2 linked regions of the Schizosaccharomyces pombe genome follow. The protein of the gene in region 1 interacts with the protein of each later gene in a pairwise test. Each region holds a gene or a part of one and is shown in the gene's direction. Other genes may lie near its edges. The genes, in order: SPOM_SPBC16E9.15 and bud6.

Region 1 (3,671 bases):
CTTGAGTTTGTATTCTCCTTATAATTTGTAATAAGCGGTATAAATTAAAGGAAAGAATGAAAAAGGTGTTGGTAATTCTATAGTAAATATGGATGGCATTTATTAGATTATGAATCCAAACTGTTCGAGACAGCGAAAGTTCCGCAAAGGTGGATAATGTCATATGTTGATAAAATATGCATGCATTAAATGATAATAAAAATATAACGAGTGAGTTACAAACACGGTTGGTTGTAAGATAGGAAAAAACGATTAGGCTCTCTGGATATCTACTGATATTTCCCATTTGGGTTGAACACCAGCACCAAATATGCTTCCTACTGTTTTTTGTATAATCCTTATAATATCTTCACGAACTGCTGCCTGCTCTCGTTCACCTCCTGAAACGGTTAAGCCAATATTAGCAATACAAGTATTATAATGAGGTTGCCAAATGGCAGCATAATTAAGTTGGTCAATTCGTGTATCCTCTTTTATAAGGGAGACGCATTCAAAGACCTTTTCTTTATTAGAGTATGTCAACAAGAGCATTAAGGCAAGCGATTTGGCAATGGAGAACCCATTCACCAGGGCAGTAACAGCAATAGTTAAGGAAAGCAAATGGCTGAGAAATGAACCAACTTGATAACCAAGACTTAACAGCAACACGAGGATGAGTGAAGGTACTAATGTGAGTCCATGGAAAAAGCGAGAATTGAGTTCTCGTATGTGAGCACTAGGGTGATCCAACAATAATGCAAATCCCGATATTATAGCCGAAGCAAACAATGAAATGGTTAAATGAATGTGTACAGTCTCTTCTTCATGATCGCCAGCATGATGGAGATTACCCCAATCTTCTATAGCATGTTCGGCAGGCTCTTTTAGGAGGTTCATGCCGAGGAAGATTAAGAGGATTGAGAAGGAAAAATCAACAAGTAATTCCATTTGTTGCATTCCAAATGGGTAACGTAAACACGTGTGTCGCCAGACGAGGAACGAATCCAATGTTTCACGCCAAACGTTGATAATGATTAAAACACCTTCTACGATTAAAGAGCAAGATAAAGTGAGTAGGATAGTAGCATCCCCCGAGAGTAATACCCCTACGGCGACCAAAAAGAATAGGATTGAGCTTGTCAATTTTAGTTTTTGAGGAAAAGTAAGGATTGCGAATGTTTCTTTAAAAGTAGGAATGGGATAACTGGCAGGTATCTCTAACGGCTGTCGATTCTTGGGTGGTAAGAAATATTGATGCGAAAGCGAATGTTTGTGATGATGGCCTTTTCTGTGGGTAGGGCGAGTATCCACGCTTAACAAGTTGGGATTATTCGCACTCGGTTTTGGTAACTGATCACTAATAGTTACAGAGACATTATTATTTATAGGGTTTTGAATCTGAATAGCAGTCGGGATGTTATGATTTTGAGTCATTTTTCATTCATTTAGATATACTTTCAACAATTCTATAATGGCTTTTTTAAAAACTCACTCACCCATGCGTTTGGTGGAGTGGATGGGTAAGACCAGTTGGTACTAGGCCCAAATTGCAACAGTCTAAGATAAAGATATTGACTGTATCAGTAAATGATTATAAAAAGCCATAGTGTTGTACCATCTTTGAGACATCTACTTTTTAGTGACTAGGAATAAAAAACGCTTAGTAGAAAACGGTTAAAGATGAACAAACTTACCTTTCAGAGCCATCGTGGAACGCCATATATATAGGGTTCAAACATGCGGCTCAAAGTCATCCATACAAGGATATTATGAGTAATTTTTTTAATTCGTTTAATTAAAAATAAAATCATCATTAAGTTATAAAAAAAAGGCCACTCCAAGGGCCTGAATTCTCCTTCTACGACTTTTCCACATGTACTCGATAAGACAATAAATACACTTGGTAAAATAATAAAAATAATTATGTGTAGGTAAATAACATTACGCAGAGGTTCCTAGCTGAGTTCCATCAACTATTTTACCTACTTCTTCCATTTCTCTTCCAAATACCAACTATTGTATTCACAAGTGAGTTCTTATTACCTGAAGGAAGCATCTATACATATTAAAAAAAAGGTTTTCGGTTACAATGTCTGCGTCTGTTAGAGGGAATTCTAAAAATCCTCAATCCACATCTGCGATCACGACTTTGGTGCGTTTAAGATTAGTCTTTCTTTTTTTTTAATGATCTAACCTTGTTTACTTTTAGACTGATAAGTTATTGGAGGATATTGTAAGAAGAAGAATTGTGCTTAGTTAATCATTCTAACAGATTTTTATAGTCTGGCGACTTTGAGACCCTACAAAAGCAATTCTCTGAGAAATGTACGATTCTCTAATTTATAATGAAAGATTTTGCTTTACTAATCATAACTTTTTATGTTAACAGTGGAAACGATGTCAACTCGTTTAGATCAACTTGAAGAATCCATGCGTGAGGCCATGAACAAAAAGTCTTCTGTCTCACCGGTCACATCGACCGAGTGAACAAGATTCACCGCATAAGATTTTCAAAGCTTTCTATTTGAAGTGAGCATACAGCTTGTTTGACGTGGTGGATTGGGGATTGTGCTAGATTTGCTCTATTTTATTAAGAATAACCTCTGTTTGTCTTGCTCTGTCTATTTATTTTCAATTGTATTTCTAAGTCTCGATTGTTTGTCTTTTTCAATTGTTTACATGTTCGTACGAGAAAATTCAAATCATTTATTTTTTGTACATTTATTTTTACCTGTTAGTTCTATTGTACATTTTATATTGTTTCTTGTTTTGATTATCTAGCAAGGCCAAAGCAAGCATATACAACCCACCACAGACAATCAAACTACTTAAAACTAAAGCTACATTACATTTTCTATATCCATCGCATTCAATTTCTTTACTCGTATAAACAAAGAATCTCATTAATAAATTACGAACAATTCGCAGTACTTTCCATCATAAAGAACCAACCTTTAAAGGATGACAACTTTCCCCTCAAAAAGTTGTCGTCCCTTTTTTTCAAATAAGAACCATACAATAAAAACCTTTTTTCATAACGGATTCACGAGATAATGAAGGTTACGTCCAAAAATTTTGATATTGCAAGTATTCCCTTTACTTGTTGGACATACCCAAGGCATGACGAACATTGTTCATCAAGCCATGACCGCTGCTGGTGCTGCTTCTACGTTCCTTGCGGGAACTTTTGCTTTCAGATTTGCCCAAACCGGTGGTACCCTTGTCGCTATCCGAAGAAGCAGAAGAAACATCATCACGTACAGCAGTAGATTTGGCAGCCTTGGGCTTTTTAGTGGTAGTAGTAGCAGCAGCATTTGTGGAAGCTGAAGTAGGCAAGGTGCTGGGAGTAGATTCAACAGCCTTTGTCGTACTAGGAGTTTTAGTGGCACCGCCAACATAAGCAGGAGTGGTGGCAGAGCGGGCTGCTTTGCTTGAAACAGTCTCAGTGGTGGCAGGATAGTGATAGGCGGCGGACTTGCTCTTAGTACTAACATCAGTAGGTTCATTAGTGGTAACGGCGTGTGGATGAACGGGTTCGGTGGTATACAATTTGCTACCCTTAACACTGTTGTACTCGCTCTCCACCTTGCTTTGTTCAGCTTGAGCATCGCGTAGGGCTCTGCGTGCAACCTCTACGTCGTTGACATACTGGGATGGCTCGGCAGTGCGCAAGTCAGTCAATTTGCTTTCCT
Region 2 (7,072 bases), on another chromosome or scaffold:
GAGCAACTCGAAACCGTGCAAAACGAAAACGAAGAAAACAAAACAAAGTTAGCTGCATTACTTAATCGATTTCATGAAGAAACAGATAATTTTTTATCAAAATTAAGTCTTTGTCAGCAAGAAATACAAGGTACGTGTTTGAATTCATATCGTTTTTAGCTAATTGAACACAGACACCTTCAAACCAGTGGAGGCTAACTTAGCTTACGATGTCGATACGGATTCTGAAGACCTTGACGAGGTAAGTTGAATCGTATTATGTTTTTCAGATATGTTTATCTAACGTCTGAAAGGAATCCGTCGTGAAAGATACCGAAGAAATAATTGAGCAAGCTCAGCATGATGTTTCCTTACGAAATTTAAGTGGAATAGAGGATGAAAATATAATTGATGACGGAGAAACTGCTATAAATGAACAAAAAAAAAGAGAAGCTAATGTTTTTTCCGACACGCAATCAGCACCTCAGCTAAAATCCGGCAAAGCCCTCCCAGCTGATTTTGAAAATCCTTACAATCTATCCAATTCGAAACCTGTAAATAATAATAATGAAGATAGAGTTGAAGCGGTTACTTCTGAAAATAAATCTATCGATTCTGCTCCTCAGGAAAAAAATCATGAATACGAAATCGTTAGTCCAAAATCATTATCCAACAAAATTAATAATCAAGCAGCTGCACAAAGAAGAACCGAAGAAGATAATGCAAATGGAGTTGCTCAAGAAGAAAATGAGGGTTCACAAGAAGCTCATTTTCATAGCAGAATACAATCTGATACAGTAATACAAAGTACACCCACTAAACGGAAATGGGACGTTGACATTCAAAATAAACAAATTAATCTGGCTTCTGCAGCTACCAATGTTACCGGTTATGTATCGGAGACCGATAGTCGCCCCAATCGCGCAAACTCTTTGGATTCTGCTGTCCTTCTTGTGCAATCTTCAAATAAAAGTAACCGAAATGGGCATCATATTTCAGATCCTAATTTAAATAGCTCCATATCGTTGAAGTTTGCGCCTGAAGATACTGCGCATAATTCATTAACTTCACAAGAGAATGTTGGGCCTCAGGTTACGACGACTTCTCTGTCAAATATGACTGTTGCTGAATCTCCTCGTACAGACACTCCAAGGGAAATAAACGGGTTAGTAGACTCTTCTGTCACTAATGGGAACGAAAAATTTTCTGTAGAAATAATGAATGACTCTAACAAAATTGGACTGAATCCTAAATCTTTTACCGACGAAGAGCGGGAAATTTTAACACTTTTTCGAAATCCTCCCATGAGACTGTCAAGTGAACCTCCATCTTCAAATGGATTTTCAATAGCCCATCCCAATAATTCTCCGTTACGTCCGCCATCGCTACAAGGAATATTGAATGCTGAAGATCGACCTTACGAAATTGAGCCGTCACGTAGCTCCTTTGCTACCAACGATACGGGCTCCTATAATAATTTGGAACTTCTGTCATCTGTAACGAATTTGAAATCCCCTAATGAGAACGATCGTGTGACGAAAACTCAGTCGCGAAGAGAAACAAAAGTGAAAAGGCGAAGAAAAGCTCGGATTCAAGAAACTTCTGAAGAAAGTACAGTAGTCAATGAGCCAAATGAAAAACCTGATGGAAGGAGCCGAAGGGAACGGAAAAAGGTTAATTACGCTTTGCCTGGATTAAGGACGAAATTAAGACGGAATTTCGATTTACCTTCAGATCATGTAAAAGCTAAAAAAACGAGACGTGCTCCTAAGAACTCTGAGAATGATTCAGCTACCAAAACAGAAACCGCAAACATTACTTCTGAAGCACCCACTACTTCAGAAGTAACCCTTGAAAACTCCGAAACCCTTAATTTGTAATATTATGTAATTAAATACCTTTCGACATCGTTTAGTTGGTTCAGATTTTTTAAGTGGAGGTATGCGTCAATTTGAAATAAAAAGTCAATATTTTGGGAGTTAACCTTTGGTATTTCATATTACTTCTTTCTTTGTTTATTCACATTTTGTTCTTGTCATTAACGTTATGTACAAATATATGGTTTGGTTAGTTAAATACAATAAACAGGTGTGTAAATATATTATAAAATTACTTAGCAATCCTCACAAATTCAATTTACTATGTACCTTAGCACATTCATCAAGTAGTCCATTTCTAGTGTACCTCGATCGCCCTCGGTGGAAGTACTAACCTACGCAACTGAGTCTAATAAGTCAATATTCTTATGTTTTGTATATAACAAACCTAATTGGTTTTGTGTTTTCTCTTATGTTTATTGTTTTAAGTTTAAGTTGAACTTTCAATCCTTTTTTTGCGATTAGGATCATTGCTTTACTCATCTATTGGGACCAATGTTTAATAACGGCGATAATATGTCTCGTGAACGTTTTTCTTCCAATCATTCAATGCAAAGACAAAAGACTGAATCTCGAGCAAATTTTTCTCGAAGATTAGTCCCTTCCGACTCAAATCGGAAGCCTGTACCTAATGGCGCGTCCAACAGCCCTTTGTCAAGAGATGCAGCGTCTCATTTAATTAGTACAATCGAGACATCGATAATGAAGCTTTTAGTTGTAACAAAGGAGCTTCTTGAAAGCTTAACAAACTGGAGCAAAGGTACAGTTAATGATAGTGCTGTTTCATCCGTTTATGTTACTCTAATAGGGGAATTCCTTCAGACAACCAAGTCCTTTCATGAAGCTGGTATTGAAACTGCAGATTTAAATGATTTTCCGCTAGAACTCAGATCAGTCCTAGAGCAAACACTGGAAAAAACACCATCTTCTGATGCTTTGGAGACCAATCTTCCTAACGTAAGGGAGCTGGTTATGCACCTCCTACAAAGCTTGAAGTATAAGCAATCTCTGGTTAAATCCAGATTAAATCAATCTAGGTCAAATTTGCCTCAAATGACCCGTGAAGCGAATGATAACGATGTTAATCGCCGTAATAGTCGTGGTTCTTCCCAAGGAAGCATATCATCATTTAGAAATCCTGATTCGAGAAAGCAATATGAAGAAACTACGAGTGCCTCATTAAGTGCTCCTGGAGCCTTTGATGCATTGAAGCAGACAAATGCTCTCGAACGCCGAGCTAGCAAACGACTGTCACACATGGTAAAAGACCAGCAAAACAATGAGGGATCTTCTCAGAATTTGAGGAATATCACTGTTGAATCTGTCAGAGGCTTTCTTCGTGATTCCTCAAAGCCAGACAATATAATGGACTCACCGTCTCCCAAAGTATCTAAAAGGCCATCTATCGTTAGACAAGATAGTCATGATTCAAATAAGCTTTCAAGAAGACCTACAATAAATACAAGTTTTGATAGAAAGTTTTCACCAAAACTTACTAGAACACCTTCTTTGACTAAATCATTAGATCCTGGAACACCCACTTCTTTAAAAAGCCCTTCTCTTCGAAAAAGCCCCAGTTCTTTCGTACAAAAGGATGTATACTCTCGTTCTAACTCTTTAAGAATAAGTCAAGCAAATCGAAGTAATGTTTTTCCGGGTGCAACTGATGTAACTAGAAGCGTGTCTGATCATAGAATATTAAGTAGCTCAACCATCAATGACGGAGAAGTCGCTCCGCCACTTCCCCAACGATCAAGGACTATCTCTTCCCCTAATAGCCCATTATCTGCTACAGTCCTTCCATCTAGTACTCCGATTTTATTGCCCAGAGGTCGTTCTTCAACACTATCTGTTAACAAAAAACAATTTAATGCAGATGATGGTTCTACGTTGAATTCGCCGAATTCCATTCGTGAAACTGAAGAATATGCTGCTTCGCCAAAATTGGAAGATATCGCTGATGAGGTTGAGACGGATGCCACAAGTCAGAGGGAACTCCTCGAAAGACAAATTCAAAAAGCAGAATCCTCAGAAGATACCTCTGAAATTGAAAGCTTACAAGGTAAACTTTCATTACCCCAAGTTTCATCTACTCAACAGGAAATACAACCTAGCAGTAGCGTCCCTGAAGCAGCTTCAAATGAAATTGCAGAAAAAGAACCTGCTGTTACTGCAATTGAATCAATAACTGAAAGAAAGGAAGAAGCCCCGGTGATATCTAGTTCTGAAAAAATTGAATCTGGTACGAGTATAAGCACTTCAGATACAAAAGGAGGTTTAGCAAATTTTGAAAACGATTCCTTAGAAGAGCTGGAAAGACTTATACAACAAAACAATGCTGAACAAGATGAACCATCTTATAAATTCCATAAATATGAATATTCATCCGAAGAGTCTGGTTCTGAAGATGAGTTTAAGAGCGAGAAAGATACAAAAGGCTATGTAATCTCTAACGATGACTCGACACAGGTTGAAGAGGATTCAGAAGATAAATCGACTCCAAATACAGGCGCATCTGCCAAATTAATTAACGACCCTTCATCTACTATCACTGTATCTGATGTCTACCCTAAGAAACCTGCCTCTCCTGTTGAAATAACGGAGCCGCCATCCTCGGCTCTTGTATCTGCTACTTCTCCTACTACTAATGTTCCCATCGTTCCCGAGGCCGTCCACCTATCTACCGCTTTTTCTACTGCTCCTGTATCTACGATTGTTTCCAATATTTCTCCTTTACCTACCGTTGCTCCACCTAATGTTTCAGGGTCTCCAAGTGAAACTCCTATTTCAAAGCCGGAAAAGGTTCCTGTTGTTTCTCAGACTGAAAAGGCACTCCCAAAACCGTTGGGGGTAGATACGGAAAAATACTATTTTTTGCGTTACAATAACCAGACCCGAAAAGTCAAGGTTGAAAGTCCTCTATCAAACGCAAATGAGCTGGGCGAACTTTTCAGTAATGTATATAAAATTTCATTTAGTGGCGATTCTTATGAACTAAATATTGAAGACCCCGATACTAAGATAAGTTATCTGTTAGAAGATCTCTCGGACCTTAAATACAAGTCACTAGTTTCTTTTATGTTTAAAGAGCAAGATGCTAACAAGAAGAGGGAAGATTTCCATTCCGGTGAGGTCTCTGCTATTCAACATTCATCTGCACAAAACACTCTGGATGATCATGTTAATACTACCACTCATGAAAGTCCTTCTTCTGCTTTTACAGAAATTCTTGAGCGCTTGAAAGCTATTGAGCAAAATATTTCAACTAATCACACCAACGACTCAGCTGCACTCAAATCGTCAGAAGACCATTCAAAATTGGCAAATAACTTTTCTGTCCCTGATAGTATCGACCACAAGTTTTACCAACAAGTTAAGAATATGCAACTAGAATTGGCTTCTCTTAAACAGATTTCGGCTGCTTTCTTCACCAGGATTCCGTTAAAGATAAAAGATTTTAAGAAAGAGATAAATGCGTTTAATGAAAAGGGATCTCTGGATTTCCAATTTGGAAGAGGATTTGTTTTAAGCAGCAAGGACAGGATTGAACGGGAAGTTAAAAACGTAGTTGAAAAGTTTGATGAGGTAAATGATCAGATTGAACTTATGCGTTCTGATGTGCTGTTGCGCAAAGTACGACCAGGCTTAGATCAAACATCTCAATTAAATGAGGAAAGCGCATACTTGGAAAAAAGGATTCAAACCCTTGAAAGATCTCTTGAGGAAGTAACTCCAATTTGGAAGAAGCAATGGGAACGAGAGTTAAATGCAATTGTACAAGAGCAAGAATTTCTGGATAGTCATACTGTTCTTATATCAGATCTTAAGAGGGATCTTTCCGCATTATCCACTGTCCTTTCAAATGTTTCCGCGATAGCTGAATTGCAAGCCAAGTCCTCCATTAAAAGCAAACCCTTAACTTTGAAAACTGCCACTGAGTCTGAGATTAAAGGTTATCGTGATCAAATTCAGCTAGAAGTACTAAATCTAAAACCCGACAGTGAAGCACGACTACAGGCTATTGAGCGTAGTGAACTGTTGCAGAAAAAACGACTGTTGCAACGAGTAGATGAATTTTCAAAAGAAGTTAAAACTTTTGTTGAGAACGAAAAGTTGAATAAGATCGGAGGAGCGGAAGAGGCTGATCGAATTCGAACAATTCAAGATGAAAAAGTACGTAAAATTCTATGGGATGACTTTGTGTCATCGAAACGCAATGGAAAAAATGGAGGTAGTTTCATTGAGGAATCGAGTGACACTGTTTTAGACGAACATGTTGTGCCTGATAATTCTGCTAAAGCAACTGTTGCAGAAATAGACTACGGTTCACAGGTGGATACAGAGAATTTTATGTTAGAACGCAGTCCATTGGCAACTCCAAAGCCATTGAAGCAACCTGATTTTAATATATATGAGACGCCGATCGTCCGTAGTACAGCTCATGAAACAGATGATGAACAAACCCCTTCTAAATACTCCGATAACAGAGTCGAAAGTTCTAGTGATACAGTGTTTGAGAATACTGATCTTAAGTACGATAACAATGTACAGATGAGTAAAGTGACTCATCATGTAAGACACGATACGATATCCACTGATGACTATGACGCTTACGAAGATGCCGAAGATGTTGAAGAGACAAGCCTAACTTAATGTGCATAAGTTTTATTCGATTTGGCAATGATTGTATGCCAGTTTGTGTATTTTTTTTTTACTTTTTTTAACTTTAATTGTTACGAGAGAAATTACCCTGTATTACACTAGGACTGATGCAAATCTTGTGAATCAAGGATTTGCTGAATAGAGTTACAACATACCTTAATATGTACAGTTATAACAAGCAAAGGAAGCTTCGATGTTGTCCAATACCACTATTGGGATACTATTTTCACTTACAGTCTAACCAAATATGAGATAAACACAGAAAAGAAATCTTAGATATTAAAGAAAATTTGATTAACTTGTCGTTTTAAAAATCAGATATTGAACCATCGGAATCTTAAATACGACGTACGCCGTAACCGATCAAGGCAACACTTAAGCCTACTGATTTCACTAGAGAAGATATAGTTTTGACAAGGATGTAAGGGGTACCTCTGCTTTCTGTGAACATATAGTCGACTACGTCGGGCAATCCAGATGCACCAAATACATAAAGACCCACGAAAAAGGCACCTTTGAGTGTCACAGTGCCTGTAAGTTGCAACAATGCAGCG

Evidence for each region.
Region 2: the proteins of SPOM_SPBC16E9.15 (region 1) and bud6 interact in a two-hybrid assay, tested with the Schizosaccharomyces pombe proteins (one large-scale study listed by BioGRID).

Annotation. Positions count from the first base shown.
Region 1 is NC_003423.3:1,944,910-1,948,580, forward strand, and holds SPOM_SPBC16E9.15 (uncharacterized protein), read left to right. Parts: upstream 1-1,983; 5' UTR 1,984-2,068; coding exon 2,069-2,131; intron 2,132-2,188; coding exon 2,189-2,212; intron 2,213-2,261; coding exon 2,262-2,304; intron 2,305-2,368; coding exon 2,369-2,466; 3' UTR 2,467-2,929; downstream 2,930-3,671. Other genes in the region: Golgi zinc importer, CDF family, Zrg17, read right to left, coding at 253-1,413.
Region 2 is NC_003424.3:3,714,455-3,721,526, forward strand, and holds bud6 (actin-interacting protein 3), read left to right. Parts: upstream 1-2,188; 5' UTR 2,189-2,351; coding exon 2,352-6,509; downstream 6,510-7,072. Other genes in the region: shugoshin Sgo2, read left to right, coding at 1-130, 174-241, 294-1,859; SPOM_SPAC15E1.02C (uncharacterized protein), read right to left, coding at 6,856-7,072.